2 linked regions of the Callithrix jacchus genome follow. The protein of the gene in region 2 binds, or shares a complex with, the protein of the main gene of each other region. Links are inferred from orthologs where the notes say so. Each region holds a gene or a part of one and is shown on either strand. Other genes may lie near its edges.

Region 1 (16,894 bases), on a different chromosome or scaffold from region 2:
AAGGTTTTGAGCAGATCAATACACAGTAAAGGGTATGGAAAGGATGGAGTAGGGATGGGAATTTGCTGGTGTGAAGATCACCAGGAGCTCGGTGGAAGCCACATGAAATAGAGGCCACATTGGAGCTTAGCAGCCCATGTAAGTCTGGGGAAAGAATCCTGCAAGGGCCAGAGCAAGAACAATGACTTTTCCCTCCTTGTAATTATTTAATTGCCCAAATAATCATGCATATTGCAGAAATTTAGAAAAGGCAGAAAGCAAAGCCATGAGAAAAAGTCATTCCTCATCACACCATGCTGAGATAACCCCTGTTAATATGTTTGCACTGATCTGCCCAGACTTGGTAACAGCCTCTTACATCCTCAGTTGGAAGCCAGCCTGGAAACCCTGAAGAGACAAATGACAGCCAGGAGGTTGATGGCAACCAGCTCCCCCTCTGGGCCGCATGCTCTTTCTCTCACTTGGTTGGTCTTTCCCATTGGAGTGGAAGGACTCGAGTCATGATCCTTTGTAGAGCTGGACCCTGCCCAGGTGCCCAGGGCTGCACAGGCATTCGGAGAGATGTTCTGGAGAAGCAGCGAGAAGCCTTGAGCCCTGCAGAAAGCTGTGATCTGACACATCCCGAGGCTTCCCACGTCTCCAGCCCTACATTTGTCCCTAAAGAGGTGTTTTGCCAGACTACTCGCATAAGTACCTGTAGATAAGCCTCTAGCAGTAAGATTATGGCTCAGTAGGATTCACCATTACTCCTACAGCTGGAAAGGAGCGGAGCCTCAGAGCTTCAAGTCCCTGGAAAGGCGCTGTGCACTCAGTGCTCAGCTGGGCCCTGGGTGGTCCCATGGAAGTGAAAGTCATAGTTCATGCCCTTGAGGAATCCACAGTTTTCCAGCAAAACTTTGGAAACAACTCAGAATCACTATGGAAATGTGGCTGTGATAGCCACTGCCTGCGGGGGCTGCATGGCATGGTGTCTCCTGGGCTGACCCTGGAGCTGCACTGCCTGGGGTGGGTTGAATCCTGGCTCTGCGTGGGACTTTGGGTAATTGCTTGTGCTTCCTCTGCCTCTGTTGTCTCGTTTCTCATAAAAGCATCACAGCACCCCCTCATAGTGTTGTTGTGGGGATCATTTGGGTTACTGCAAATAAAGCACTCTGCAAGTGTTCATTATGAACGAGAGCAGGGGCTTTTGAAGCACATGACAGAGTGGAGTTGGTCTGGGAGGCTTCCTGAAGAAGGGGCCTGCTTTGCAGGGGCTAAGCAGTCCAGGGGGGAAGGAGTTCAAATGTGCCTGTTCAGCTGGGTGGAACGCAATGACCAGAATAATCTATCCATCCTGCTTTTACGCAACCATTGGGCCTGAGGTCTGGTTCGCCCGTTATGCCCTGTAATGGAGCCGAGGAGTCAGAGGGTCTGATTGCCCAGGGCTGAGGCAGCTTGTTGCATAACCAGGGTTGCTGTATGGCAGTTTGCAGAAGACAGCATGGTTAAGCAGTGCGTCCCAGCAGCCAGGAGCTCAGGGGACTCTCCTGGCCTAGACAGTGCAGCTCCCCAGCACCCAGCACCCAGCTCCTACCCGCATGTGCTTCAGATGGGAATCACTGGCCTGTGCCAGGAGATGTCATTTTCAAAAAACAGAGTATCTTTTATTCTGGATAAACAAATAATGAACATCATAGAAAACATCCAGAGAAGATAATTCAAGTTTCTTATTAATCCACTACCCTGAAATCGTGAATGTTTTATATTTTTTGACACATGGCTTTTCTCTCTCTCTTGCATCTCTATATTTATGTATTTTTTCTATCAGAAATAGGATCATGTAGTACACACTATTTTGCAAATGCCTTAAGTTTCTTTTCATGTCATTAAATATTCTTCCATGATGTAATTCACAACTGCTGCATTGTGCGAATATGCCATAAATTATTTAGCCAAACTCTATGGTTGAAAATTTAGATCATTTTCAACAATTTTTTTCCCTTTTTAAAATAAGGCTTTCATCCATAATCTTGTAAATAAATTTCTGCAAATACTCATGCTTATTTCCTTAGGATCATTTTTCAAAGCTGGAATCATGGTTCTGGCATGCAAATTTTTATGGCCCTGGATGCCCACTGCAAGAGCTCTCTGATGAGACCCTGAGGGATGGCTTCCCTGCTCGATGGCCTGGGAAGGCATGGCCTGGCAGGAAGCTGGGCAGAACTCTTCAAGCACCTTGGAAATTCCTCCAGTACTGAAGTTAAATAGCTGGAACAAAGAATGTGGGAGAAAGCACAGTCAGCTAATGGGACGCCAGGAAGCTTAGCTGCCTTTTGGAGAGTCAGGGAACCTAAGGATTGCTGGTGGAACCCTGTGAATAATTTCACTGAGGTGAATGAGGTGCTTCAAAGAGGGAGAATCCAGAAAGGACAGACTCTTTTCAGCTCAAAAACCTGCCTGTAGGCCAGGCTAGATGGCTCACACCTGCCATCCCAGCACTTTGCAAGGCTGAGGCAGGAGGATTGATTGAGCCCAGGAGTTTGAGATCAGCCTGGGCAATATAGTGAGACCTGGTCTCTAAAAAAAGAAAAACAGCTGGGTATCATACCCAGCGACCTGGGAGGCTGAAGTGGGAGGATCGCTTGACCCTGGGACTTCAAGGCTGCAGTGAGCTGTCGCCATTGCACTCTAGACCCTTTCTAAAAACAAACAACATCTGCTTATAACTTTCAAGGGAGCCCTAGGTTTGCTCATACTTTTGGGCTATGATCTGTCTCTCTCGTAGGCTGAGCTCCCCGAGGGCAGGAATGTGTGCATTCTTCATCTCTGCACACCACATCCAGCCCAAGGATGACAAATAATTGTTGAGCTGACAGGACAAACATCACTCCAAGTCACAGCCCCTGCACCTCTTCCTCCTGCATTTTCAGACCAAGGCTCCAGGCATCTTATTGCCAGGCTTAGTGTACATTGGAGCATCTTTTCCAGAGGACACTTGAGCAACGTGCAGTAAAGACCTTAAAACAAGCATACTTCTTGACCAGCTATTTCACCTCTCCCAAAAATAATCCAAGATCTCCAGGAACTGCCTCCTGCTTCCTTACATTCTGGGCCTTGGCGTTCTTGACATTAGGAGAAGGATATCACCTGCCCCATTACCCATACTCTGCTCCTCCTTGATGCATGGTTAAAATACTCCCTCTTCTAGCTAGCTTGCCCCCACTCCCAGACAGACCTCTTTTCTACTGTGTGTTAGAGTTAGTTATGTGCTTGACTTGTCTGACTTCCAAACCTCAATCTATTTGAGGGCAGGCAGGCAGAATCTGTAGCTATTTTATCTTTAGCCCTCTCTGCACCTGGCTGAGTGAAGAACCAATAGTGGGTTCAGAAAGTTTAGTGAAAGGGCACACTTGCAGAAAGCCTCTCGGTCACACCCTGCAGAACTGTGAAACTGCATCCTCTGCCTGCTGACAGTGACATCAGGAATGAGCTATAGAATTGCACAGTTTTCGTAGCAGCAACAGGATTTTCGACCCCACTTTTCAGAATCACAGTCTAAAATTTAGTGGAGCAAACGGAGGCTGGAAGGAGTGAGGGGTGTTAGGCAAACACACACAGATGCTCTAGAATCCTTGTGATCTGATAGTAAGTTCCAGGCTCAGTTCCTGAACTAACTTGCTTTTTATTTATTTTGTAATACAAATGTGATTATTTCTAACGAAAAGTAATGTGTTCTTTACAATAAGATCTAGCATGCAGAACTTTTGTTGTTTGAGCTTTTTTTTTTCTTGAGATGGAGTTTTGCACTGTCACCCAGGCTGGAGTGCAATGGCGTGATCTCGGCTTACTGCTACCTCTGCCTCCTGGGCTTAAGTGATTCTCCTGCCTTAGCCTTCCGAGTAGCTGGGATTACAGGCACCCACCACCACGCCCAGCTAATTTTCGTATTTTTAGTAGACACGAGATTTCACCAGGTTGGCCAGGCTGGTCTCCAACTCCCGACCTCAGATGATTCACTCACCTTGGCCTCCCAAAGTGGGGATTATAGGCCTGAGCCACCATGCCCAGCCATTTTTTTTAAGGGGTCTCTCTCTGTCACCCAAGCTGGAGTGCAGTGGCAAGACCACAGCTCACTGCATCTTCAACCTCCTAGGCTCAGTCACTCCTCCCACCTCAGCCTCCCAAATAGCTAGGACCATAGGTGTATGTCACCATACCTAGCTAATTTTTTTTTGGAGGGGGTAGAAATGGGGGGATCTCCCTATGTTGCCCTGGTGGTCTTGAACTCCTGGGCTCAAGCAATCCTCTCGCCTTGGCCTCTTAAAGTGCTGGGATTATAGGCACAAACCTCCGTGCCTGGACAAAGGCTGTAAATATGTGCAGAGTTCCTATGAAACTCTCTGAGATTCAGGGAAGATTTAATTAAGTACAATTTGATTCAAGAGAGCCAGCCTCCTGAAACAGGATTTTATGAGAGATGGAAAAGAACCACAGTCCTGACACTTGTCAAAGACTGGGAGGACAGGCTGGCCCTGGCATCTTCTTTCCCACATCTCCAAAAGCAGCACCTTTTTATTGGTAAGAACTGAATTCTTATTGGTAACATAGTTAATTATTGATGGTAAATGGCCACTTTCTGACAAGGAGAACTACTGAGAGAGACACCCCAGGCCATGCTGGTGGAGGAGGCCAGCTGCGGTCAACCCTGCATGGGGGGCTGCACTACTCCAATGTTGGAAATGAGAAAATGGAGGCTCAGAGAGGTGAATCAACCTGCTTTCAGTCGCCCAGCAGAGCCCAGACTCTAGGTCTAGTCAGTCTGACTGAGAAGTCAGGGTTCTTTCCCTGTCCCAGTGAGTCTCACTCTGGCTACCCATTAGAGGCTCCTGGTGCCCAGGTCTCAGCCCAGCCCAATTAAACTAGAGTCGCTGGGCTTTGTGACAGGCATTCAATTTTTTTTTTTTAAGACAGTGTCTTATTCTGTCACCCAAGCTGAAGTACAGTGGCTTGATCACCGCTCACTGCAGCCTCAACTGCCTGGTCTCAGGTGATCCTCCCACCTCAGCCTCCCATGCCACCACCCTCAGCTAATTTTTTGTATTTTTTGTAGAGATGGGGTTTTACTGTGTTGCTCAGGCTAGTCTTGAACTCCTGCGTTCAAGGGAGCTACCCACCTCAGCTTCCCAAAGTGCTGGGATTACAGGCATGAGCCACCACGCCTGGCCAGCAGTCATATTTTTAAAAAGCTCTCTTGGTGCTGTAATGAGCACCTAGGGTTGGGAGGCCTTTACCTCTAGGCTCTGAACTCACAAGAGAGCGCTGACTGACAGATGTGATAGAGACTCCCATCCTGGGAGCTGTTAAGGCAGATGCTGCCCTGTGCGCCATGGCACCTCAATTAAGACAGAAGCGCTGGGGCTGGGATCTGCACATTCATATTTATACTTTTGAGCTCCTCTGGTGTTTCTGAAATGCAGCCAGTGTTGAGAATTAGAGTTCAAAGGCTGAAACCAAATTGCCTCTTCAGGCCTTCCCCTTAAGCCGCCATCTAGCCCCCAGCCTGACTAGGACAGAGCCTGGGGTCCCATTTAAGCTGTGGGGAGTGAGAATGGAGGAGAAAAATAATCAATGTTCGACAATCCAGTATGCAAAGATGTCATCAAATGCTCAAAAAGAACTCCTGATCTCGAGTCAACTGAGTGGCTCCCAGCAAGTTTGCTGGTAAATTTACATGACATCATCTTCCTTCACAGAAAAAGCAAAATACACTTCAGTCTTTGCTTAGGAAAGTGATTTTTGAAAATGTCATGAATGGGGTCCAGATGAATGAGGTTCACTTCAGGAACAAAGGGGACTCGGCAGACAGGTAGAGAATGGAATCTCACTGTGCAACCATTACGCACAGCCTCTGTATTCGAAGCAGGTGAGAACTGCTGAAAGGCAAAACAGAAGTGTACCAGTCCATGCATAAAAGAGAACAGGTGAACCCAGGGCAAGGGAGCCCGGGAAGGAAGACCAGAGAGGGGCTGGGGGCTGGGGAAGCGGGGGAACTGTCTAGGATGGATGGAGCCTGTTTCTTGCCGATGATGCCGATGATGCCGAGGCTCCGCTATCCCAGCAGCATCTGACCTTGGCAGGGCCTGCATGTCCCTCCTCTCTCCTCCCTCCCCTGTTGGTGGTGCCGCCTCAGCCTCCCTCCTCCTGAAGGGCCTGGGTATCCTCTCTTTGGGAGAGCAGGAGAATTGCTGGGGAACTATAATTAAAAACAAAATCTCCTCACAACCCGGAAAACCTCTCCATAAAGGAAGAAGCAAAAGAAAACAGCTTTATTATTGCACGAGCACAAGCATTCAACCAGAATGTGACGCACACGCCGGGCAGTCTGCAGAGAGATTGCCAAGAAAGAAAGGAGGCCTGCCTTTTGGCCAGCCAAGCAGCTCCAAGCTGTCACATACGTGTTCCCACATTAAACGATGACTAGTTTTCAGGGAATGAGTTCTATTTGTCACACATAGTTCATCCTAAAGTCACCTGGTTATTGGGGTGGCCATCTGTGTTTGCTAATTCCCTTTACCCAAAGGAAAAATAATAAATTTATTTCTTTATGACAAGAGGTAGTTTTGCAAGTTGAAGCTGCAGTTAGGCTCCTACCCTTCTCCAGAGACTAGAAGATGGACAGCTATGTTCCTTAATGATTACCTTTCAAGATGGTTCCCAGGTCCTTGGAGAAAGACATACTTGGGTCCTAAAGTTGGCAAGAGGCTTATTTAGCTTTTAAAACGATTTACATACATTTAAGAGACAGAGAAGGAACTGCTATTTATGGTTTCCAAAATAAGTGCTCTAGGAAAAGGAAGTGAGATGGGCTGCAAGAGTCTCTTCTGTTTATTTTAAACAGGGAAAATTAAGTCCCTATTTTGGTGGCCGGGTATGGTGGCTCATACCTGTAATCCCAGCACTCTGGGACGCTGAGGAGGGTGGATTATTTGAGGTCAGGAGTTCAAGACCAGCTTGGCCAATATGGTGAAACTCCATCTCTACTACAATTACAAAAATTAGCCGGGGGTGGTGGTGCATGCCTGTAGTCTCAGCTACTCTGGAGCCTGAGGCAAGAGAATCACTTGAACTCAGGAGGCAGAGGTTGCAGTGAGCCAAGAACACGCCACTGCACTGCAGCCTGGGTGGCAGAGAGAGACTCCATCTCAAGAAATAATAATAATAAATTTTTTTAAACCTCTACTTTCTTTGTTTTAGAGACAGGGTCTTTCTCTGTGGCCCAGGCTAAAGCGCAGTGGTGCGATCTCAACTCACTGCAGCCTCAACCTGCTGGGCTTAAATGATCCCTACTTCAGCCTCCCAAGTAGCTGGGACCACAGTCACAGGCCACCATGCTCAGCTAATTTTTAAATTTTTTGTAGAGATGGAATCTCACCATGTTGCCCAGGCTGGTCTCAAACTCCTGAGCCCAAGATATCCTCCTGCCTTGGCCATCCAAAGCACTGGGATTACAGGCGTGAGCTACCATACCCGGCTGTGAACCTCTTATTTTTCTCTTTCTTTTTTTTTTTTTTGAGACGGAGTTTCGCTCTTGTTACCCAGGCTGGAGTGCAATGGCGCGATCTTGGCTCACCGCAACCTCCGGCCCCTGGGTTCAGGCAATTCTCCTGCCTCAGCCTCCTGAGTAGCCGGGATTACAGGCACGCGCCACCATGCCCAGCTAATTTTTTGTAATTTTTAGTAGAGACGGGGTTTCACCATGTTGACCAGGATGGTCTCGATCTGTTGACCTCGTGATCCACCTGCCTCGGCCTCCCAAAGTGCTGGGATTACAGGCTTGAGCCACCACGCCCGGCCGAACCTCTTATTTTTAATGTGAAATTATCCTTACCAAATTTAGCTTTGACTTTCATGGGGAAGGGATTGAATGTTTGGCCCCAGCAGTGGGCGTCAGCCCATGACATGAGAAAATCCAAGGGGGAGCCTTAAACTGGATTTGATCTTGCAACCTCAGGAGAGAACAAGAGTGGTACAAGGGTGGAGCAAGTGCCTTTAGGACCCTCCAGGGCTTGGGTAGTTTCTGAATTTGACTGGGATGTTAGTAATGGAGGTGGTCCTTCCAGCCCCACCTTCCTGCTCTTCCGGGCACCCTGTATCCCCCGCATCCCATGCCCAACACTCAGTGTCATCTTTGAGCTCTCTGTAGGGGAGGAAGGCTGTTGGGGATGCTGGTCTGGTATGGCTCCTTCCTTCCCTCCCCTCGGCAGCACAGCTCATGGCTTCTGCTCTACTCCAAGTAGACTTTAACCCACTGGAAACTGCGGCCAGTTCTGCAGCAAGTTCAAATCTTTAGGGACTTCATAAATTAGCCTTTACTGCTAAGTTCTCTGGGAGAAAAAGAATTGGGGAGTGGGGGCAGGGGGAGGGGTTGCAAAGCTCAGCACAATCACAGCTTCCTCTTCCCAAACTCTGAGTGAGTGTCCGTGTTGCAACCAGTCAGAGCAGCACCATCAGGAAGGGGTCATAGGGGTGGCAGGGTTGATGCAGAGCATGCTGACTGTCCAAGGGGCACTGGGTAACCCTGGGCAGATCAGGGGTGCAGGTGGGAGGGTCAGTGCTGAGGTATAGGTGCTATGACAGCATTTGCTTTGTGTTGGCACATTCTAAGCAGCACCTCGAATTTTCCTGTTTGTAAGCCTGCGGGGTGTGCGCCCTTTTATGCTTATATTAGGGAATTCAGAGCAGGCTCCTGCATTTCTGCTCATGTGTGTATCTCTGAGGATGTTCTGCTGTTGTCAGTTGTCGTCAAGCCTTCAACTCATTGGATGGAGCCCACCCACATGGTGGAGGGTAATCTGCTTTACTCAAAGCCTGCTGCTTTAAATGTTGATCTCATCCAAAACATACCCACAGAAACACCAGGATAGTGTTTGGCTGACTATCTGGCACTGTGGCCCAGCCAGTTTGACCATTACAGCAAGGGATGCAGGGAAGGGGAGGCAAATAGTCCCAAACACTATTTCAGCTGTCCCAGCTCCCTTAATAATGAAACAGGACTCAACTGGAGCAATGGATGGATGGAGGATAGAGATGGATGGGCAGATAAGTGGATGGGAAGATAGATGAATGAGAGGATGGATGGATGGGAGGATGGATGGATGGGAAGATAGATAAAAGAATGGATGATGAGTGGATAGATGGAAGGATGGATGATGAGAGGATGGATGGAAGGATGGATGATGAGAGGATGGATGGAAGGATGGATGATGAGAGGATGGATGGAAGGATGATTGATGGGAGGATAGATGGAAGGATGGATGATGTGAGGATGGATGTATGAACATAGACAGATGGGTGGATGGAGAGGTGTCTAAATAGATAATAGACAGGGACAGACAGACACTAGTAGAGACAACTTTTCAGACACTATTTGATGGAAATTTTCAAAAACACAAAATTGGAGAATGACAGCACAAAGGCCAACTGACCCAATTCTACATTTCCACATGAGAAAAATGACACCCAGAAAAGAGTGACTTCCCCAAGGTCACACATGGGTTAATGGCAGAGGTTCTGTTGCCTCCTAGCCTGGTTACTGAGGTTACATAGGAATGAGGTCTGTACACTCCAGGTCAGGTGAGGCCAAACTGCAGGAGCAAGCTACCTTTGGAATTTCAGAGGCCTTGCACCCCGGGCTTCTTGCATGCTTACACAATGCACCAACTCAGCTTGCAGGAGGATCTCTATTCCACATCCTTCCCTGACACCTCAGCATGTGGTCCCTCAGGCGGGAGAAGAGTTGGCATGTTGGGTGCCAGCTCCTACACTCATCAGCCCAGAAGCAGCGTCAATCACTTTTCTATCAGCCACATGGCCCCTAACTAATGGAAGTGGGTCAGAAAAGTGGGTGGGTACATGGATATTTGATGAGAAATAAAAGTTTCCGCAAAACAGAAGTTTTTTCATCTCTTTGTGGGACTCCGTGTTTCCTTTTCTACATTTTTGAACCAAACAAGTTACCCCAGGATATCTCCAAAACCCAAGAATCTCCTGTGAGCTCCTGGAACCTCCAAGGAGCCTGATTTAACTTTGCACGGAATGCCTCCACCTTTCACTACTGTAGAATTTGATGGGTTTTGTGTATGTGGAGGCTGAACCGTTTACTGACGTTTTTACCTAAAGCACAGCAGCATCGCCCCACTTGGTCTCTCTCTCACTGTTACTCATTCACCTTCAGGACACTGGCTGTCAGTTTTCAGGCTTTTAAAACTTGTTCCTTCTAGAATGTGGTTTGTTAATAAGTATTGATCAAGCATTATGACGGTAACAAGAACCTTATAGGTTCGCATTGCTAGAACCCCACAAATTGTTTATTTCCTTTGAGTCTCCTTGCCTGTACTTGAAACAAACTGCCACCTGGAGTCAGGTGGGTTTGAATTGCTTGGCTCCTCAACGGCATTAGTAATTAAAGCATTCTTTCCTAATGGCATTGGTGTTCTCTTTTTGTCTTGTTTTGAGATGGGGTCTTACTCTGTCACCTTGGCTCTAGTGCAGTGGTGTGATCAAGGCTCACGGTAGTCTCAGCGTCCTGGGCTCAAGCAGTCTTCCTGCCTCAGCCTCACAAGTAGCTGAGACCACAAGCATGTCCCACCATGCCTGGCTAATTTTTATATTTTTATAGAGATGTGGTTCCGCCAAGTTGGCCAGGCTGGCCTCAAACTCCTGAGCTCAAGCAATCCACCTGCCTCAGCCTCCCAAAGTGCCAGGATTACAGGCATGAGCTATCACATCTGGCTAGTGTTCTTTAAATAGAGCTTTTTGTTAAAATAACCAAAAACAAAGAATAACAACTATTAATTCAAAATAGGATATATAGTTAGAGTTAGACCTAAAGAAATACAAACACCTAGGCATAAACCAGTATCCTTATTACTTGTGCTGCCATTGTCTGCTTTAATCCTTAGGCTTATGTAGAATTAATAGATTCTGAGTCTTACTTTTCTTAGGTGTCGATCGAATCCGGTCAGATTTGTCAAGAGTCCTTTGTAGCCCCAGCTGGAGTGCAATGGTACAATCTCAGCTCACTGCAACCTCTGCCTCCCAGGTTCAAGTGATTTTCGTGCCTCAGCCTCTGAACAGCTGGGATTACAGGTGTGAGCCACCACACTCAGCACAATCTTCAACTTCTGATAAAGAATTCCCTCCTGATCTTTTATAGCTTCCCACAGGAAGGCTTTAGTTTCTTCTGGGCATCTTTATCTCTGCCCTGCAGACAGAGAGTAAACAGGGAGTAAATACAGCAACATGTGACAGTAATGTGATGTTTCTAGAATGTTAGAAACTCGTGACTGCCTTTTTCTGAATCGCCGGAGGAATTTCCTTACCTGAATTCCTTTGTGAGCTTCCTTTCTCTGCTGAGTGCATTCTTACAACTCTCCACGGAAAGGTCCCTTAGCCACAGGTCCCTGATAAGGGTAGATTGTAAGCTGACCCTTTATTTTGCCTGATTCTGAAAACGCTGCTCTTTTGTAGGTACAAATCAGACCATTCCAGAACATGACGATTTCTGCCTTTTTTTTTTGACAGCATCTTGCTCTGTCACCCTGGCTGGTGCAGTGACACAATCTCGGCTCATTGCAACCTCTACCCACTGAGTTCAAGTGATTCTCATGCCTCAGCCTCCTGAGTAGCTGGGATTACAGGTGCACGCTACCATGCCTGACTAATTTTTTTTTTTTTGTATTTTTAGTAGAAACAGAGTTTCACCATGTTGGCCACGCTGGTCTAGAACTCCTGACCCCAGGTGATCTCCTTGCCTCGGCCTCTCAAAGTGCTGGGATTACAGGCATGAGCCACCATACATGGCCCAGCACATGACTTTTAAAGTACTTTTAATCAGAAGTTGACATAGAGACACAAAGTGATTTCTCCAGAGCCCCCATGTACTTAGCAGGATCCCAGGGGGCAGGAAAATAGAAAAGTGCTAAAGGAGCTTTCAGTCATTGCAGGGGAGATTCCTGGAGAGCTGGGTCCATAGCTCCATGGCCCAAATATCGCAGAGCTGACTCCATGAGGCGAACTCCCAGCAGCATGGGGTTCATCATTCCTGGGCTCGGACCACCTGTGAGCCACACTCTGTTTCCTGAGGTTTAAGCACATGCTGCAAGTCTGAAGCTTCCTGCCAGGAGTCAGGCCTTGTGTCCATTCCCACTTTCTCACCAGGTCACCAAATGCTCTTGCTCATGGCGCAGGAAGAGAGATGGGGCTTGGTAGAGCCACAGAGCTGAGTCCTCCATCAGCCCATGTGGCAAGGAGGATCGGAGAGTCAGGAAGGGCCATGCTGCTGGGTTGTGCTGTGTTCTGGGGGGAGTCATTTTCAGGGGACTCAGGCTGTTGAATCCTGGGTATTTGGGAAGGGCTTGGAGAAGCCTTTGGCATGAATGGGGCTCTCCTCCTTAGAGAGGCTGAACCAAGTTGGTTAATAAAAGTATCCAGTGCTGTTCCCACCAACAGTGTCCAAATTATGCTTCGATTCTATGGCCACAGCTGCCCTGGGGGATGGCATGAAAACTGCTTTAGGAACTGCACCTGTAGAAATTGTTAACATGTATTGATCGCCTGCTGAAAACCAGGCTCTCTGTGACACCTTTACTTGATTATCTTATTTTTTAAGACACACAATATTCTCTGTGAAGAGCTTGTTCTGTGAGGGAACAACTAAAGGGAGAAAAATTCAACGGTGGGGGGGTCTTGGTGCCAGGAGGAACTGTCCTAGTGAGTGACCTGCTCCCCACAGTGCAGGTCACCGGGAGAGGAAAGACCCTGCCCTCTCAGGCACCCTCCGCATCCCCCCATGCCTCCTCCACCCCCCCAGTGCCAGGGCAAGCAGAGCTGTCTCTAACTCAGGCTGTGCCCAAGCCGGCTTAGCTTCAGGACAGTGCTCACTGAGCACTGTGCTACGTGCTTATCCTTCCACGATCTTGTTTTGTTGTCACTGTAATCCTATGAGGGAGGAGAATGTTTTTGCCCCCATTCTACAGATGAGGACCCTGAGGCATGAAGAGGACGAAGGCTTGCTCACGATTCTGTAGCTAAACGCTGGCAGAGCCAAGTTCTGCTCACGTTCAATCTGACTGTCATCCCCTAAGGTAAACTGCCAAGTTCTGACTGAGTCACAGTGGCTCTACCCCTTGGCTTCACAGTTGAGTGACTGGGCACATTGGGAATCTCAGGCAACGGTTAGGAGGGCCTGAAGAATTGTGGAGGAGGGTCGATTACCCTGTAAAACTGATCAATCAACAGACAAGAACAGCAATAGGCAATTTGGATTGCAGATGGCATTAGCCGGCTAGGACGGTCATAATAAAATACCATAGATGAGTGGCTTAAACAACAGAAATTTACATCCTCACAGTTCTGAGGCTGAGAGTCCAAGAGCGAGGTGCCCACAGACTTAGTTTCTGGCGAGGCCTCTCTCTTTGGCCTACAGACATAACCTTCTCCCTGTGTCCTCACGTGGCCTTTTCTTTATGCGCGCTCATCCCCAGTGTGTCTCTGTGTGTCCAAATTTCCTCTTTTATAAGGACATTGGTCAGACTGGGTTAGTTCCCCACCTCATTTAACCTTAATAAGCACCTTAAAGATCCTATCTCCAAACACAGTTTACACTGGAGATTAGGAATTCAATACATGAATTTTAGGGGACAGCCTTCAGCCCATAACAGATTATTCAACGCTCTTTGTCCCTCCTACAGCAGCCCCCACAGCAGCGGGCACAATCAGCTGCAATCTGGGTGTGAGCCCCTCTCTGCAAGGATTGGGGACCAGATGCTCCCTCCCTGGAAGCCACGTCAATGAGAGACCACTGTCGTACTGAGAATTCAATAAAGGCTTTTTACAGTACATGACTACAGCTCTTTTTACAGACTCCTACAGCGCTGTACAACCCAACATTTACTGGAATTTTCACTTCAGCAAGATCTTTTAAATTTAAAATCTCAGCACAGTCACTGAAGCCACAACTCCCTATCTAATCAAAGTTTCTATCGATGTTAAAACTTGATTGGTTTTTGTTTTTGTTTTTTTTTTTTTTAGTCCTCAAAGCTGTGTTCTTCCCATATACAAAACTGATTCCCCTGATCCCATCTCTAGAATAGTTTTTGCAATGAAAGACTGGTTTTGCAAGAAGACACACATGCCTTGTTAAACAAGCTCTTACAGAGGAGGCGGAGGAGGATGAGGAGGAGGAGGAGAAGGAGGAGGAGGAGGAGGAGGAGGAGGGGGGGGAGGGGAGAAGGAAGAGATGGAGGAGGGGAGAAGGAAGAGAAACCCCGATTTGTAGGGGCTTACCAATTTCCATGGCATAAATACTTGCACCATAATAAATTTCAAGCTACTAATGATTTTAAAAATTGGCTTAGAAATTTCCAGAATATGTTACACCTGGATTTCACAAGCTGCTGTTAGTCTGCTCCAGCACATCACTGCTTGTGTCTCTCATGATCACAGAAGCCCATTTTATAGGTTTTTAATCTGGGTCAGGGGTAAAATCTGTGGTCTTGATCAAAATGAGGTCAACTAGCCCCACCAGGACTCAGTCTCAGCATCTTACTTCCATTCTCACCATGCTTTAAACCCTGAGCACAGGTCACAAATCCATGTTCATCTAATACATGCTTCGGGTAAACCTCCCCATTTTAGAAGAACCACCCATTTGCTGGAAATTAGAGTCACCCGACTGGCCATAGGCATTTTCGTGGGATCTTGATCTTCATGGAAAGTCAAAAGTCAGTCAAGTGCAAATCAGGGTTGGATTGATGGCAGGTGTAACAGCTGCACAAGCATATGGTGCTTTGTCTGGAACTGAACATCTCTATTTTTCATTCACCAAAGGCTGTGGTGGCTTCAGGAAGTGCTTCCAGCCTGACCTCCTGCTGATGACATCCAAGTTCTCCTTGGATCCTGAGCTACTGTCTCTACTTCATGTGTGTGAAAATGTGCAGGGAACGTTCATCCCAGAGGCAGAATTGGGGTGTTCCAAGCAGGCAGGCCATCGAATGTTCAGAATTCCAAGTTCAGGGTCAGGATGTGGTATTTCAGAGGCAAACGATGGTCTGGGAGCAGACCTTGGAGAAAACTGGGCTTGGGGGTAACAACTCTACCAAATTAAATCTAAGTGGGAACTGCAGCAGGCGTCTGACCTGGAACTGGAGGTTTCCGGAGCAGCTGGCTCAGTGAGGGAAGGACACACAGAATCGGAATTCCCCCACCATCTTCTCTGACTGCTCCTGCTCCTCCATCAAGCAAGGCTTGCTGGGAAGCAGGAGGAGGCAAAGGCCCTTCATTCTCCTCCTGCCTCGAGGATATTCTCTTTCTCTCCCTTCCTCTGTAGTTCACTCTCCAGCTCATTCCCAGGTCCCGGGTGAGCCAGCTGAAGTGGTCATGATAATACTAATAAGCTGATTTGAAAGAAGAGTTTAGTTCATTGCGCCTTTGGGAAAGACCTCTGCTGGTGCTTGGCTAGGATAACAAGCTTCGGTGAAACTAACAGGGACACTAACTCACTCCACCGCTATATTCTTATTTTATATGCTGATGGTGTCAGTAGTCACTACCATAAGTAGAATCTGCTTTTCCTCTGGCAGTGGAAAGGCTAAATTGTACATGGTAACTTCAGGGCCTTGTCTCCCTTCTAGGGCTTCTCTGAGTTCAGGGGAAGGCATTTGAAACGTCCATAGTAACTAACCTTTCTCTTATTCCCATGCTCTCTCTTTACTCATACCATTATTTTGAGGAATACATGAAATTAAAATTGTTATAACTGAACATCTACTATATGCCAAATCCTGTGCTAGATATTTTAAATATATTTCCAAACCTAATAAAAACATCATGTCATTTTATAGATGAAGAAACAGACTCAGAGAAGCTAACAGATTTGCTCACAGCCAGTGACTGTTTAGATTTTAGCTCATGTATTTTAAACTCCATTTTAAAAATTGTTATTTTATTTTTTTTAAATAGGCCTGGCGCGGTGGCTCAAGCCTGTAATCCCAGCACTTTGGGAGGCCGAGGCGGGTGGATCACGAGGTCAAGAGATCGAGACCATCCTGGCCAACATGGTGAAACCCCGTCTCTACTAAAAATACAAAAAATTAGTTGGGTGTGGTGGCGTGCACCTGTAGTCCCATCTACTCAGGAGGCTGAGGCAGGAGAATTGCCTGAAACCAGGAGGTGGAGGTTGCGGTGAGCCGAGATCGCACCATTGCACTCCAGCCTGGGTAACGAGAGCGAAACTCCGTCTCAAAAAAAAAAAAAAAAGAAGTAAAATAGAATGGAGTCTCACTACATTGTTCACACTGGTCTCAAACTCCTAGGCTCAAACCATCCTCCCACCCTGGCCTCCTGAAGTGCTGGGATTACAGGCATGAGACACCATGCCTAGCATTGTAAACTCTAAAGCTCACATTTTTCTACTATGCTACCATATTATATAAAACATTGCATCAGTCAGCACAAAATTAGGTTGTGCTGCTGTTATAGGCACCTCAAAACCTTGGTGGCTTACGACAACAGTTTTCCTTCGTCCTCACATGTAATGCGTGATGCACACGCCTCACCTGGGAGCTCGGTTCCCTAGTATTCCCTAGTATTTCAGGGAGGCATACTCAGGCTGATGGCGGAGGAGCCATCAGACTGTTGCCAGTTCCCACGCTGGAGGAAAAGGGAGCTCTGGAGGGCCTAAAACTATCAGCAAAATGCCCTGGCATTGAGTTGGCACACATCACTTCTACCTACAACCCATTGGCCAGAATTTTACATGACTCTTCCAAACCACAAGAAAGAGGAAGTGTAGTCCCCCTGGACAGCTGAGAATAAAGTACATGGCAAGCAACACGAAAACCCGCCATGGGTGTCT
Region 2 (16,334 bases):
AGAGCTTTAAAACTGAGCACTTTGCCCTAACCTGATGATGAGATCTGAAATTGTCTACAATAGGCACCCAAGTGAGAATTTTTATCACCATCCAAAGCATTTAGGTCATCGTAAGAAGGTGCCGCTATGCAAAGGAATACTTCTCTCTGAGCTAAAACCTATCTTGCTCAAAAAAGCAGGAAATGGCCCCAAACTTCAAATATATCTTCATCCACCACAGGGCTTCCTTTCTTCTTTCAATACTCAGAAGTTGAGGTATGCCTTTTTTAAGACCAACCCCATACTCTTTTCATGGAATTTGCCTATTCGATTATTCACTCTCTATAATATTAATCTTCCATGGGTCCCTTTCTATTATCAACTTTTTTCTCCCTGCTGGGTCACTTTCTATAGACTAGAAAAAAACTCATGATTTCCCATCCTTTAATTATCTACCCTGGGACATTCATTATACATTATACACGACTCCTTCACCTCCACTTTCCAACCCCAGCCAGGCTTCTCAGGCCCCTAGAGTGTAACTCAGTCACTTTTGTTATGAACATTTGTCTACTTTCTGGCTGGCCAGCATCTGACTGAACAATCTATCATCATATAAGGCTGAAACACTGGCAGCTAGAGCACCTTCTCGCCAACTAGATACCCCCATCTGAGACACTGCCCCTCGTGATAACTGCACAAAGACACAGAGGCTTTGGGGTTCATCAGACTCCTGGCATCAGGTATCCAGCAGGTGGAAATGATAACCACAGGGACACTCAATGTCCAGATAAGATGGCAGTGGCACTATATCTGGGTTCCTCCTATGGGTGACTTAAAGTCCAGGGGTCTAACATAAGTAATAAATATTAACTACAGTCTGGTAATCAATACGGAAAGGTGAGCAGTGGCAGCTATGCATATTTTCTCTCTTACAGTATGCTTCTGTGTGTTTCTATATATTAACTAATTTCTTCTCAATCTCTTCCTTCCCCCTATTGTTTTATATAAGGATTCTTGCTGTTATTAAATTTACAGTTTTATATTTAGCTTCCAGAGTAATCATTCAGGTGGAACTGTGACTAAGAAGAGCAATTAATACTGCCCAGAGATCAATACTGTACATGTTGCACAGAAAATATGTGACATAGCATCATCCCATTTGGGGGAGAGGATAAGACTGTCTCCTTTTGTTCAAAGTGTATCCCACCACTCCCCACCCTCTGGGAAGCTCCTGTGACTCAGACAGGGGCTGTGGCAGGAGGAAGATGCCACAGCCTGAGTCCTGAAAAGCTGCTGTCAGTGTTAAACAAATTGAAAATGGTCCATTAGTTTATGCTAGGTCTACAGTGGGAACTGTCATAGTTCAATATTTCTGTTACGGGTGTAATTTTACTTTTGTGACCTTGTCAGTTTTGCTTTTTGTTCATTTCAACTTCAGTGAAGTGACTCAGTCACTTAAGAATGTGGTCATCCATTATTCAAAATAGCAAAAACTTGGAACCAAACCAAACCAAATGTCCAGTCAATTTTCTTGACTGGATCAAGAAAATGTGGCACATATACACCATGGAATACCATGCAGCCATAAAAAAGGATGAGTTCATGTCCTTTGCAGGGACATGGATGAAGCTGGAAACCATCATTCTCAGCAAACTAACACAGGAACAGAAAACCAAACACCACGTGTTTTCACCCATAAGTGAGAGGTGAACAATAAGAACACATGGACACAGGGCGGGGAACAACACACACCAGAGCCTGCCTGGTGGTGAGGGGATAGGGGAAGGATAGCAGTATGAGAAATATCTAATGTAGATGATGGGTGCAGCAAACCAACATGGCACACGTATACCCGTGTTCTGCACATCTATCCTAGAACTTAAAGTATATATTTTTTAAAAGGATATTTAAAAAAAAAAAAAAAAGAATGCACTCATCAAGAGGTCTGGGCCCCATAGACCATTTCCAAAACAATTCTACTCTTGTTTCACTCAAGCTCCGAGTCTATTACTAGAGCCACAGTTCAAAGCAAACAAAATTGGCGATGTGTTAGTCATATTGAAGATGCAGGAAAAGGCCACTTGAAATTGTCTTCTGAACTGGGCATGATTTTTAATGAATGCGCTCAGGAGTTGAGAGACTTGAGCTATCAGAAATGTGCTTTTAATATGCTTATTGGTAACTGCAGGCTACCACAGAGATATGCCAGGCACAAGGAATGCAGCATGTAAAGTCCTACCATCTGACCACCAGTTGCTAACATTGGTTATCTGTGCCTACAATTAAGTTTTTTCTGCCTGTCTCCAGACACTGCACAGTGTCATAGATTGCATGCCAGAAAACCTGCTTCATGAAATCATCCTCATGTATGTTATTAGTGACCTTGATGATTTGAAAGGAGAACCAGATGAATATGTCCAAAAATATCCCCCTGGGAAAATTAAGGTAATAAGAGATACAAAGTGTCAGGGACTGATTCAAGGAAGAATGAGTGTAGCAGTCCACCAACAAACATCCTTGTGTTCCTAGACAGCCATGTGAAGTGAATGTGACGTGTCTGCAGCCCTTGCTGGCTGTCATCTGCATGGACTAGCAGACCATGATGGTCTCAGTGATTGACATCATTGGTGCTAACATGCTAGCCTACAGCTCGACCTCTGTTGTCCATGGAGGATTCAATTGAGGGCTCCACTTCAAATGGGAGCTTGTTCCCCTTTCTGAGCTAGGATGAGCAGAAAAAGCCACAGCACCAATAAAGTCACCAATAATCATGGAATGGTTTTTTTTGTTTTGTTTTGTTTTTGTTTTTGTTTTGAGACGGAGTTTCGCTCTTGTTACCCAGGCTGGAGTGCAATGGCGCAATCTCGGCTCACCGCAACCTCCGCCTCCTGGGTTCAAGCAATTCCCCCGCCTCAGCCTCCCGAGTAGCTGGGATTACAGGCACGCGCCACCATGCCCAGCTAATTTTTTATATTTTTAGTAGAGACGGGGTTTCACCATGTTGACCAGGATGGTCTCGATCTCTTGACCTCATGACCCACCCGCCTCGGCCTCCCAAAGTGCTGGGATTACAGGCTTGAGCCACCGCGCCCGGCCCGAATGGTTTTTATCTGATCAGGAACTTGTCACGATTTCTCTTCTTAGAAGCCTTCACAGGAGACAGTTGTTTTGTTTTGTTTTTTACTTATTTGTTTAAATGTACTAAACAGATACTTTTTAAAAACGGAATCTACATTATGTTTAACTTCAGAAGGTATCATTATAAGACATTTTAAAAAGTATAGTTGCACCTAATTAGGTGAAAGCATGAAGTTATAGGGAAGTTTTAGGGAAATGTAGACATGCATAGAAAGGTGTGTGTGAATGTTCTACGTAGCCAATGAGCCAATAAAATGAGTTTTGCTGGTGGTTAAGGTATTGTCTGCCATCTTCAAATGCACCCAATGCTCTGTTTTGCCATGCTGGGGCTGGAACTTGGCAAACCATAGTTTCTTGTTAAATTCTACCTGTTGGTGAGCTAGAAAGAGACTAGAATAATGGAGTAACAAAGGAGTTGATCCTTCCTGTTTTGCCTCCCATTCTCGAAATATCACTCCAGTCAGAGGTTCCTCACCTGGGCAGCAGCAGTTGGCCCCAGTAACCAGGTTTTTTCCTCCATATTCTCAGCACCAGCCACAGTATGCCTTAGATATATGAATTCTATCTCTGCAGGGTCCCTCCATCAACTGACTGAGGAACTAACACCAACCTCCTCAAAGGTCAGTTCTTCAGGGTCCTTCCTCCAAGTTTCCCTCTGTTCTGGCAACCTCTCTTTCCACTCCCTTGAATGACTCTGCCTAAAGACTCATTACTTTCACACTGCCAAATCCATACATATTATTCAGACCTTATTATACCTTCCTGATATATCTGGCCATTGACCACTCACTTCTCCCAGCTTCAAGCATTATTTCTTTATTAATAATGTTTTGGCTCACGAAGACATTTCTGGAGGGTAAATTAGAAATTTTTTAGAAAGCATTTTGGCAATATGTATACATTCAATAAAGAATTTTTAAGCTTTGTATAAATATTTCCATTGAGTTAATTTCTAGAGGTAGACAACTGTTAAACATAATAAGTGCTATGTGTGTACATTTAGTAAGCGGTACAGCCAGGTAGACTGACTCTAGAATCTGCCAAATTAAATTCTACACCAGGAATTTTCAAACTTGAGTTCCATTAGAATCACCTAAAGGACTTGGTAAAACATAGATTAATGAGCCCCACCCCCCAATTTTTTCACTCACAGAGGTGAGCTAGCAAATTTAAATTTCTAACAAGGTTCCAGGTGATACTGATTACCTTCCCCAACACTACAGTGCCCACATATTTTCTTATTCACTCTTATTCATCTCTAACGACTCACTTCAGCTATCTCCTTCCTTAGGAAACCTTGGCTCCTCTCTCCTCTCACTAGCTAAACTAGATAACCCCATCTAAGGCCTCACAACAATCATGTGCTCCCATGACATTATGTACCTACCAAATACATATCAGTAACTGCTAAAACTGACTCTGTACATATATGTTTCAACTGCTAGCCTTTGAGAACATCAAGGGCAGAGATTGTAACCATTTATCTTTTTTTACACGTCTTTTAAATTTCTTTTTAAAATTTTTATTGTGATAAAATGTACATAAAATCTAACATTTCAACCATTTTTAGTATACAGTGCAGCCACATGAAATACATTCACATTATTATACGACCATCACCATTCCCCAACTCTAGGACATTTTTCATTTTCCTAAGTTGAAACTTTATATCCATTAAACAGTTAACTCCCCAGTTCCCCCTCCTCTCAGCCCCATTCTACTTTCTGTCTCTATTCATTTGTATAGGGACAGTTTCTAGCACATTGCTCCTCAATGGTATTATCTCATTAACTGCAGAACTGAAGAGGGTGAGACTTTAAGTGTCAAACAGAAGATTTAATTAGAAAGAATTTTAAAGAGTTAAAATTGACATAGAAATGATGTATATCATCACTGGAGTAATTACAAACTTGAGTGACACATTAGCTGTTCAAGTTATAAGTATATGGCTGTTTAAAAAGAATATCTTCATTCTCTTTCTACCACAAATAAATATTAGGCACTCATATTTTTAAGTTTATAAAGAAATCAAATATGAAAAAATCGTCTGAAAAAGAAATATAAAACATATCCTTTATGCTTTTCCACTCAAATATCTAGAACTCCTGAACTGAGTTCACTCTTCTTTCAGACTATATGCACACCTATATCTGCAATATCTTTGTAAGGTACATGGATGTGCTTTGGTCAAGAATTAGGCCTGCATGACTCAGCAAGAAGAGTGCAGGCATATAACTCCACCTGTTATCTCAGCCAGATAGCCATAACATGGGAAGGCCATCCCTTGGCCATATGCTGTAGGAGATCGGTCAGAATGGTGGGAAAAATTATAGAAAGTTCCAATCCTTCTTGGAAAGCCAGAAGGTTTTGCAAAAGCCTTGGGAGAGAGTTATGGCTAAAGGTAGCCTATTCCTCTTACCTTGAGCTAATAGCAAAGAGCAGATAACAAGGGAATATAGAGGAGTTTATCTAAATAGCTTGTTTATTCATGTCATCCTAAGACCAACCTGTGCCCATCTGTGCACATGACAGCTCTCTACTTGGGGGGTCAGCAACATTAATTACCCACAAACGGTGCTTATGCAGAATCTTTGTCATTAAACCTATACTAATTAAATACAAGAGTTGCTGGCTTACTGGGGCCACAGCACTCCCCTAGGGATCAATAAACCATGAGTCCTCTAGCCATGCAACCAGGTAAAAAGCCTATGTTTGCTTATGTCTTTCATCCATCATTGGGCCAGAGTCTGCCAGCCAGACTCAAAAGTATGCCACTATTGTCTGTAAAAGGTATAATTACCCTGCTGACACTGTACATGTGCTCATGTACAGGTTCTCTTGTGCCCAGAGACAGAAAGAGAGTACCAGGACTGTCAGTCTTGCAGATAGACAAGAGGGGAACCAGGGCATAACTCAGCATGGCACATCATGGGAACAGCATGGTTCACGTTTGTGTCCAGAGAGGGAAAAAGAATTAAGTTGCTGACCCTGAAGGCACGGGAGAATCAGCTGTGCAGCTGCATGTGGGAGTGGCTGGCCCAAGCAGTCAAAACAGAGCAGACAGTGAGAAAAAGCTGATGTAAGAGAGCTGCTAATGAGAGACCTAGTCTGAGTAAGCTGCTGATGAGAGAGATGCTGAATAAAACTACACTTCACCTGCTTATGCCCCACCACCCCCCAAGTATTCTTTCAGCTATCACCCATGAACCCACTCCCTTCAGACCTCAGCAGGGCTGGGACCTGAACTTGAACCTAGCATTTGGTGTACTCATGGACCTGACAACTGTGGTCCTAAACCTGACAGTCTTGCTACCTGAATCAACAGGAAGAGAAAAGAGGAAACCCAATGGAACAGAATGCTATATTAAAAAATAAAACATATAAAAGGAAAAGTAGGGATGCAAGAGGTTTATAATCTACTTCTGCATATGGAAGCTCTTTTAAAAAAATTGTGTAGTAAAAATGTCCAAATTAATTATTTGGTACTTACAGAACATATAAAAGATGGACCTTATGGTTATAATTCTTAAATTGATTCTTAAATAATGACTCCACATTACAGATGAATAATTTCAAGTCTCCTTTTAGCCAGCACTGTATGTTCCAGTTTGCACCTGAATTTAAAAAAAAACTACATGAAATCTCAAAAACAGTCTGAAGAACTCAGTTGTTCAGTGAAAGACAAGAGCTAAATCAAATTTACCAGTGTTCTGATACCACTTCCACTGCCTATTGAGAGAAAAAGAACAGGCCTTAACTAGGAGCATGTGCTTGTCTATCAGAACCTTTGGCCCTCAGTTTCCTTTTTTCTAAAGTAATAGAATTAAATTCAATTATTGTTCCTCAAACTTTTCTTTAATTTCAAACCACTTAGGTCGGACAAAAAACCTCAAAACTCATCTAGCTCAGTTCTCACGTTTTCTTTTTTTTTTTTTTTGAGACCGGGGTCTCACTCTGTTGCTCAGGCTGGAGTGCAGTGGTATGATCATGGCTCACTGCAACGTCAATCTCTCAAGCGATCCTCCCACCTCAGTCTCCTAAGTAAATGGGATTACAGGCACACACCACCATGCCCAGCTAATTTTTTGGGGGGGCAGGGGGGTTATTTTTAGTAGAGATGGAGTTTAGTCTTGTTGTCCAGGCGGTCTCTAACTCCTGAGCTCAAGCGATCTGCCCACCTAGGCCTCCTAAAATGCTAGGATTACAAGCATGAGCCACTGCACCCAGCCATTTTTTTTTTCAAATCAGACAGGTAATGATCTAACATCATAACAAGGTCTGAGGGAGGCACATCTCACACATATATGTGAAAACCCAGTCATGATGGTTTTGAGGCAGGAAAAGATATTCCTGTGTTTTCATACCAGAAGTCTCTTTATGTGGATGAGTCCATTGACTCCACTCTTCCTAGGTTTTCCAAAAGACTTGGAATAATTTTGTTGTTTATATTTCCAGATGCAGAATTTTTAGTTACACTAGCTACATTCAGTATGCATTATACTTAAACAATAAAAAAGCATTTTTTTCTTTTCTTTCTTTCTTTGTTTTTCCAACTTTTATTCTCAGTTCAGGGTGCATGGGCCGGATGCGCAGGTCCGTTAAATAGGTAAATGTGGGCCATAGCATATAGCAGTTTGCTGCACAGACCATCACATTCCCTAGGTGTTAAGCACAGCATCCATCAGCTATTGTTTCTGAAAAACCCAATTTTAAAATGTATACTCTTTCAGAGAGATTCCTTGCCTGAAGAAATATTATTATTCATGAATATTTTAAAATTTAACTAATTCAACAATATTATCAGTTGATATTTTATCTATTTAACAAAAATAAGGTGTGTTTTGCTATTTCAAAGCAAATTTAGAAGACTACAAGAAATGTAGTACTTAAAAGTAAAATAGTTCCCTCATCAGATTTTTATGGGATACAAGATAATTGGGGAATTATTTATTAGTTTGGTCATATAATGAATCCCAATTTTATTATCAATATAAAAATACTAATGTATATTAAAAATCACAGCCATAAGACAGCTATTTCATACAGGTGTCAAAGAATTAAAACTCATTGTTCAATACATTTTAAAAAATAGCTAATGCTTGGAACATGAAAATACTTACCTATTGGTTGAAAACCTAAAGAATTTACTGTTGAAAAAAATGTCTTTCCTTCAATGTTGTCTGCACATAATGAGGAGTTTATATCTTGCTCACTCCGAAAGCAACAGTGGAAAGTTGTTTTGGATAAGTTAGAAAAGTGGGTTCCACTTGAATTAAACTTAACTTCAACAGCTTTCTCATAATGTCCATTCAAATCTGAAGTATTCTTTGAGAGTCCAGCAGGCAAACGGAAGTAGTCATAAGTTTTATTTGGTGGCATGCAAGACAACTTAAATCTCCAAGGAGTGATTGGATATGACAAGTTAGATGCAGTTATGACATAAATAAATTCTGTTAGGATATGAAAAAAACACATAGAAAACAAGTAATCATTTTGACTAGGACATGAATAGGAAGTACCTGAGATTAAACCAAGTAGTGCTCAATAATTATTTAACTTTCTAAGTCCTCAATTGGTGCCTAATCAATAACTCTGTGCTTCCATTGTACAATGTGTTATATTCAAGAGGATGCATTCATTTATAAAAATAACTCCCTTTTCTGGCATCTCTTTTCTTTTTGGAAATTCATACTTCATGTTTTCTCTTTAATCTGACATCTTAAATTTATGCTTTAATGAAAGGAAACAAAAGCTAAATATTTTATTTTTCTTTTCTAAAACATATTATTCTAGCTTCCAGTATAAATGATAAATATAATATCCAGTATAAATGATAAATATCTGGATGTGCAATTATACAGACAATCATTAAAGTACTATTTTAATATTTATTTAAGAAAGTAGCATCAAAATATTAGCACTGCTTTTGCTGAGCATTTTTTAGAAAGAATTTGTCTTCAACATGATGATAGCTTGACGATCTCCTGAATTTTTTCATGATTCACCAAATTCAAAACATCATATAAGACATGCCCTTAGCATATTACACAAGAAATGATGCACAACAATAAACTTCTTGTGGAAAATGCTTACTGCTGATTAAACTATCACTTTTTAAATGTAAAAATTAAGAACAGTTACATAATCCTGTACCAAAAAATCCACAAAAGTTAAACTTTTTTTGGTGGTGGGGGACAGTGTCTCGCTCTTGCCACCCAGGCTGGAGTGCAGTGGTGCAATCTTGGCTCACTGCAACCTCTGCCTCCCGGGTTCAAGCAATTCTCCTGCCTCAGCCTCCTGAGTAGCTGGGATTACAGGTGTCCACCACCACACCAGCTTTTTACTTTTAGTAAAGACGGGTTTCACTATTTTGGCCAGGCTGGTCTCAAACTTCTGACCTCAGGTGATCCACCTGCCTTGGCCTCCCAAAGTGCTGGGATTACAGGTGTGAGCCACCATTCCCGGCCAAACTTATTTTTAAATAATTCTTTTAAAATAAAATAATTCTCCATAAATTTTTTTCAATAAGTTACCCAAATGATGCAACAATTATGTTGGCTTATACAGACACTAATGCAGAATAGGAATTCTGATAATCTTATATGGATTTGTATGAAAAGAGAATTTTGAAGTTATGGTAAATGTAATAATGTAAGGAAATAGAAGTAACCCTGATGTTCATCAGTAGGTGAATGGGTAAAATGTGGTACATCCAGACAATTAAATATTATTCAGTGATAAAAAGAAATAAGATATCAAGTCACAAAAAGACATGGAGGTTCCAGCACTCTTCCAGAACTATGCATCCAACAAAGGACTAATATCCAAAATTTAGAAGGAACTCAAACAATTTAACAAGAAGAAAACAAATAACCCCATTTAAAAGAAGGCAAAGGAAATGAGCAGACATTTCTCAAAAGAAGATATACAAGCAGCCAATAAACATGAAAAGTGCCCAATATCACTATGAAAAACAATGTGTAGATTTCTGAAAGAAGTAAAAGTAGAACTATCATTCAATCCAGCAATCCCACTACTAAGTACCTACTCAAAGGAAAAGAAATCGTTATAACAAAAAGGCATATGTTTGTCACAGCACTATTCACAATAGCAAAGTCATGGAATCAACCTAAGTGTCCCTCAGGGAATGACTGTATTAAAAACAAGTGTGGAATATTCACACACATAAGCATGCAGATACACACAGACACACACACACACACACCCCATACCACACTATGGAATACTATGCAGCCATAAAAAAGAATGAAATCATATATTTTGCAACAATATGGATGGAGCTAGAGGCCATTATCCTAAGTGAAATAACTCAGAAACAGAAAATCAAATACCACATGTTCTCACTCATAGGAGCTAAGCAATGCATACACATGGACATACAGAGGGGAACAATAGACACTGGGGACTATTATGTGAGGGGTGAAAAATTATATATCATGCCCAGTGTTCACTATTCAGGTGATGCAGACACTACACAATACATCCACATAACAAAACCATACTTTTAACCCCTGAATCTATAAAAATAAAAATAAAAATTTAAAGAGAGAAAAGACATGAAGGAAACATAAATGTATATTACTAAGTGAAAGAAACCAATATGAAAAGGCTACATACTATATTGTTCCTTTATAGTGAAAGAAACCAATATGAAAAGGCACAACTATGGAAACAATAAAAAGATTATCCGTTCCCAGGAGTTAGGGAGAAGGGAAGGATGAATAGGCGGGCCATAAAGGATGGGAAGGGCAGTGAAATTCTTCTGTATGACTCTACAGTAGCAGATAAAAGACACTATATGTACATTTGCCATCATTCGCACAATATACAACAAAAGTGAACTGCAATGTAAATGATGGACTTCGAGTGATGCTGTGTCAATGTAGGTTTATCAATTGTGACAAGTGTACCACTCTGAGGGGGGACAGTTGGTAACAGAGGGGTATGCATGTATGGAGTAGGAAGTCTATGGAAAAATCTCTGTACCTTTCTCTCAATTTTGGTGTAAACCTAAAACTGCTCTAAAAAATAAAGGCTGTTTAAAAATGGAAGAAAATAAAAACATTTTAATCAATCCACAAATTTATTTTTTATTACAAAAGCAGTATCTGTGAAAATATTCAAATGATACATAAGTAATGACTATTAATAGTTTAGTTACTAAATATTTCTATAAATATAAATTAATATAAATATGTATAGATGCAAAAATTGAGGCCAAAGTGATTAATGTAACAAATATGACTATGGCCATACTGAAGACAATTAGGTATCACAACATTACCAAAAATAATTCCGTATTACAATTACGTTCCTTTGGACTTCACTCCTTCTAACATGTTTCTAAAATCAGAACACCTGAAGAAAACAGAATAGTTTTTTGAAGGGAAGACACTTACAATACCAAGAATATGTAATATTACTAATTTACAGCATTATGTAATCTAGGTCTACATGAAGGATTCAGTTGCTTGAAATAAATTAGCCTAAAATCGTTACAGAAGTATTTAAATGTAAAATGTAATAATGAACTTCAAAAACATAGCAACTATTGATGCAGACTCAAAGGAAAAGATGAGTCCACTTTATCCACCTTCATCCTTTTCAAATGATATTTCTTTCCCTCAAAATGAATCCTAAACCGTAAAGAGGGTCTAGAATTTTCACCCAAAGGCATATCTTATTAGGTAACAATGTCCCAGGATTTCTTCTGATTCACAAACTTGGTCAAACCAAAACCTTTCAGAAAGCCAATGTAAAACACTAGAGTCTAACAAAAATTAGATTGAGAATTATAAAAAAGAATGAATAGTTCCCTTAAATATATCTAATAAAAATAGAGAATATGAAAAAAGAATGAGTTATTTCTCTTTGATAGTCCCTTGTGGCATAATTTTTTGGAAATCTGTAACAGTGGAGCTGAGTTATTTTCTGGAAGTATACAGATGGCTGCAATGAGAAAGAAGTATGTACAACAAGGAAGACCTATAGGGCAGCTTAGAAGGGCTTCCTTAGATTGGAGTAGCCAAGGAGATGCTCGGAACCAGCTGACACACAGGTAACAGTTGCCAGATAAAATTGCCACAACATAAGTTTCGTTAAAGAAAGCTAGATAAACAGTTGCCAAATCACATGAGTTTTGTTAAAGATAACCTAACTTTGATTTCAAAAACTTGGATCGCAATCTAACTTAGATGATTTGGTTTAAGAAAATCAGAATGCTACCAGAATGTGGTAAGTAACATATGAGAATGGTATGCTCAAAACTTATTGGCAATGTATCAGCCAGGCGTGGTGGCTCACGCCTGTAGTCCCAGCTCTTTGGGAGGCCAAGGTGGGCGGATCACTTGAGGACGGGAGTTGGAGACCAGCCTGGCATACATGATGAAACCCTGTCTCTACCAAAACAAAACAAAATATTAGCCAGGACGGGTGGTATACACCTGTAGTCCCAGCTACTCGGGAGGCAGGAGAATCACTTGAGTCTGGGAGGCAGAGGTTACATTAAGCTGAGATTGCAGCACTGCACTCCAGCATGGATGACAGAGTGAGACTCCATCTCAGAAAAAAAGTTATCGGCAATGTATGACTAATTTTAAGCAGAAGACTGAAATAGTTCATAACAGTTAAAAACATAAGATACTGAAGGAACATCTGAAACTTTTGAGGATATTCCTGCAGTGAGAAGGAGGAAGGACTAGTATACATTTCATTTCTTTTTTTGTTTTGTTTTTTTCATTATACTTTAAGTTCTGGGGTACGTGTACAGATCATGCAGGTTTCTTACACAGGTATACACGTGCCATGGTGATGGTTTGTTGCATCTATTGCCCCATCATCTGCATTAGGTATTTCTCCTAACACTATCCCTCCCCAATCCCCCTCAATGCTGTTCCTCCCCTAGCCCGCCACCCTCCAACAGACTCCAGTGTGTGATGTTCCCCTCCCTGTGTCCATGTGTTCTCGTTGTTCAACACCCACTTATGAGTGAGAACATGTGGTGTCTGGTTTTCTGTTCTTGTGTCAGTTTGCTGAGAATGATGGTTTCCAGTTTCATCCATGTTACTGCAAATGACATGAACTCAGCCTTTTTTATGGCTGCATAGTATTCCAGAGTGTATATGTGCCACATTTTCTTCATCCAGTCTATCATTGATGAGCATTTGGGTTGATTCCAAGTCTTTGCTATTGTGAACAGTACCACAATAAACATACATGTGCATGTGTGTTTATAATAGAATGATTTATAATCCTTTGGATATATATCCAGTAATGGGATTGCTGGGTCAAATGGTATTTCTATTTCTAGATCCTTGAAGTATTGCCACACTGTCTTCCACAATGGCTGAATTAATTTACACTCCCACCAACAGTGTAAAAGTGTTCCTATTTCTCCACATCCTCTCCAGCATGTTTTCTCCCGATTTTTTAATGATCACCATTCTAACTGGTGTGAGGTGGTATCTCACCGTGGTTTTGATTTGCATTTCTCTAATGACCAGTGATGATGAGCTTTTTTTCATATGGTTGTTGGCTGCATAAATGTCTTCTTTTGAAAAGCATCTGTTCATATCCTTTGCCCACTTTTTGATGGGGTTGTTTTTTTCTTGTTAATTTGTTTTAGTTATTTGTAGATTCTGGATAGTAGCCCTTTGTCAGGTGGGTAGATTGCAAAAATTTTTTCCCATTCTTTTGGTTGCCAGTTCACTCTATTAATAGTTTCTTTTGCTGTGCAGAAAATCTTAAGTTTAATTAGATCCCATTTGTCTATTGTGGCTTTTGTTGCCATTGCTTTTGGTATTTTAGTAATGAAGTCCTTGCCCGTGCCTATTCCTGAATGGTACTGCCTAGTTTTCTTCTGGAGTTTTTATACTGTTAGGCCTCATGTTTAAATCTTTAATCCATCTAGTGTTAGTTTTTGTATGAGGTGTAAGGAAGGAATCCAGTTTCAGCTTTCTGCACATAGCTAGCCAGTTTTCCCAACACTATTTATTAAATAGGGAACCCTTTCCCTATTGCTTATTTTTGTCAAGTTTGTCAAATAAAAGATGATTGTAGTTGTGTCATATTCTTTCTGAAGCCTCTGTTCTGTTCCATTGGTCTATATCTGTTTTGGTACAAGTACCATGCTGTTTTGATTACTGTAGCCTTGTAATATAGTTTGAAGTCAGGTAGTGTGACGCCTCCAGCTTCACACTGGAGGATTTTTCCCCCCCTTAGGATTGTCTTGGCTTTGCAGGCTCTTTTTTGGTTCCATATGAAGTTTAAGGTGGTTTTTTTTTCCAATTCTGTGAAGAAAGGTGTTAGTAGCTTGATGAGGATAGCACTGAATGTATAAATTACTGTGGGCAGTATGGCCATTTTCACAATATTGATTCTTCCTAACCATGAGCATGGGATTTTTTTCCATCTGTTTGTGTTCTCTCATTTCCTTCAGCAGTGATTTGTAGTTCTTCTTGAAGAGGTGCTTCATATCCCTTGTTAGTTGCATTGCTAGGTATTTTATTGTCTTTGTAGCAATTGTGAATGGGAGTTAACTTATGATTTCACTCTCTGTCTGTTATTGGTGTATAGAAATACTTGTGATTTTTGCACGTTTATTTCATATCCTGAGACTTTTGCTGAAGCTGCTTATCAGCTTAAGGAGATTTTGGGCTGAGACAATGGGGCTTTCTAAATATACAATCATGTCATTTGCAAACAGGGACAATTTGATGTCCTCCCTTCCTGTTCAAATACCCTTTATTTCTTTCTCTTGCCTGATGGCCCTAGCCAGAACTTCCAATACTATGTTGAATAGGAGTGGTGAGAGAGGGCATCCTTGTCTTGTGTCAGTTTTCAAAGGGAATGCTTCCAGTTTTGTGCAGTCAGTATGATACGGCTGTGGGTTTTTCATAAATAGCTCTTATTATTTTGAGATATGATCCATCAATGCCTAGTTTATTGAGAGTTTTTAGCATAAAGGGCTGCTGAATTTTGTTGAAGGCCTTCTCTGCATCTATTGAGGTAATCGTGTGGTTTTTGTCTTTGGTTCTGTTTATGTGATGGATTACATTTATAGATTTGCAGATGTTGAACCACCTTTGCATCCCTGGGGTGAAGCCGACTTGATTGTGATGGATAAGCTTTTTGATGTGTAGTTGCATTAGGTTTGCCAGTATTTTATTGAAGACTTTTGCATCAATGTTCATCATGGATATTGGCCTGAGATTTTCTTTTTCAGTTGTGTATCTGCCAGGTTTTGGTATCAGGATGACATTGGTCTCACAGAATGAGTTATTGAGGATTCCCTCTTCTTGTATTGTTGGGAATAGTTTCAGAAGGAATGGTACCAGCTCCTCTTTGTACTTCTGGTAGAATTCGGCTGTGAACCTGTCTGGACCTGGACCTTTTTTTGTTAGTAGGCTATTAGTTGTTGCCTCAACTTCAGATCTATTGGTCTATTCAGGAATTCAACTTCTTTTTGGTTTAGTCTTGGGAGGATGTAAGTGTCCAGGAACTTACCCATTTCTTCTAGATTTACTGGTTTATCTGCATAGAGGTGTTTGTAGTAAACTCTGATGGTAGTTTGTATTTCCATAGGATGGGAGATGGTATCCCCTTTATCATTTTTTATTGAATCTATTTGAATCTTCTCTCTTTTCTTTTTTATTAGTCTGGCTAGTGGTCTATCTATTTTGTTGATCTTTTCAAAAAACCAGCTCCTGGATTTATTGATTTTTTTGGAGGATTTTTTGTGTCTCTATCTTTTTCAGTTCTGCTCTGATCTTAGTTATTTCTTGTCTTCTGCTAGCTTTTGAATTTGTTTGATCTTGCTCCTCTAGTTTCTGTAGTTCTTTTAATTGTGATGTTAGTGTGTCAATTTTAGATCTTTCCTCACTTCTCATGTGGGCATTTAGTGCTATAAGTTTCCCTCTAGACACTGCTTTAAATGTGTCCCAGAGATTCTGGTACTATGTGTCTTCGTTCTCATTGGTTTTGAAGAACATCTTTATTTCTGCCTTCATTTCATTATTTATCCAGTAGTCATTGAGAAGCAGGTTGTTCAGTTTCCTTGTAGTTGTGCAGTTTTGAGTGAATTTCTTAATCCTGAATTCTAATTTGATTGCACTGTGGTCTGAAATCATAACTGTTTGTTATGATTTCCATTCCTTTGCATTTGCTGAAGATTAGAATTAATTAATTACTTCTAA

The links.
Region 1: the proteins of LEPR (region 2) and LEP are in contact, whole or in part, in a crystal structure (PDB 7Z3R), measured with the Mus musculus proteins. The link is inferred for Callithrix jacchus from reciprocal best matches to the Homo sapiens genes LEPR and LEP. Residues at the interface, in NP_666258.2 of Mus musculus: Tyr439, Leu440, Thr441, Arg466, Ser468, Leu469, Tyr470, Gln499, Pro500, Ile501, Phe502, Leu503, Leu504, Ser505, Val560, Phe561, Glu563, Asn564; in NP_032519.1 of Mus musculus: Lys26, Val27, Asp30, Thr33, Leu34, Lys36, Thr37, Thr40, Arg41, Gln92, Gln96, Asn99, Asp100, Glu102, Asn103, Asp106, Leu107, Leu110.

The regions. Positions count from the first base shown.
Region 1 is NC_133512.1:118,731,787-118,748,680, forward strand, and holds the start of LEP (leptin), read right to left. Parts: upstream 11,240-16,894; 5' UTR 10,974-11,239; intron 1-10,973. UniProt on the Homo sapiens protein: Key player in the regulation of energy balance and body weight control. Once released into the circulation, has central and peripheral effects by binding LEPR, found in many tissues, which results in the activation of several major signaling pathways.
Region 2 is NC_133508.1:102,800,449-102,816,782, reverse strand, and holds part of LEPR (leptin receptor), read right to left. Parts: intron 8,571-16,334; coding exon 8,241-8,570; intron 7,467-8,240; exon of another isoform or gene 7,363-7,466; intron 6,735-7,362; coding exon 6,611-6,734; intron 6,107-6,610; exon of another isoform or gene 5,953-6,106; intron 2,761-5,952; exon of another isoform or gene 1,909-2,760; intron 119-1,908; exon of another isoform or gene 38-118; intron 1-37. UniProt on the Homo sapiens protein: Receptor for hormone LEP/leptin. On ligand binding, mediates LEP central and peripheral effects through the activation of different signaling pathways such as JAK2/STAT3 and MAPK cascade/FOS.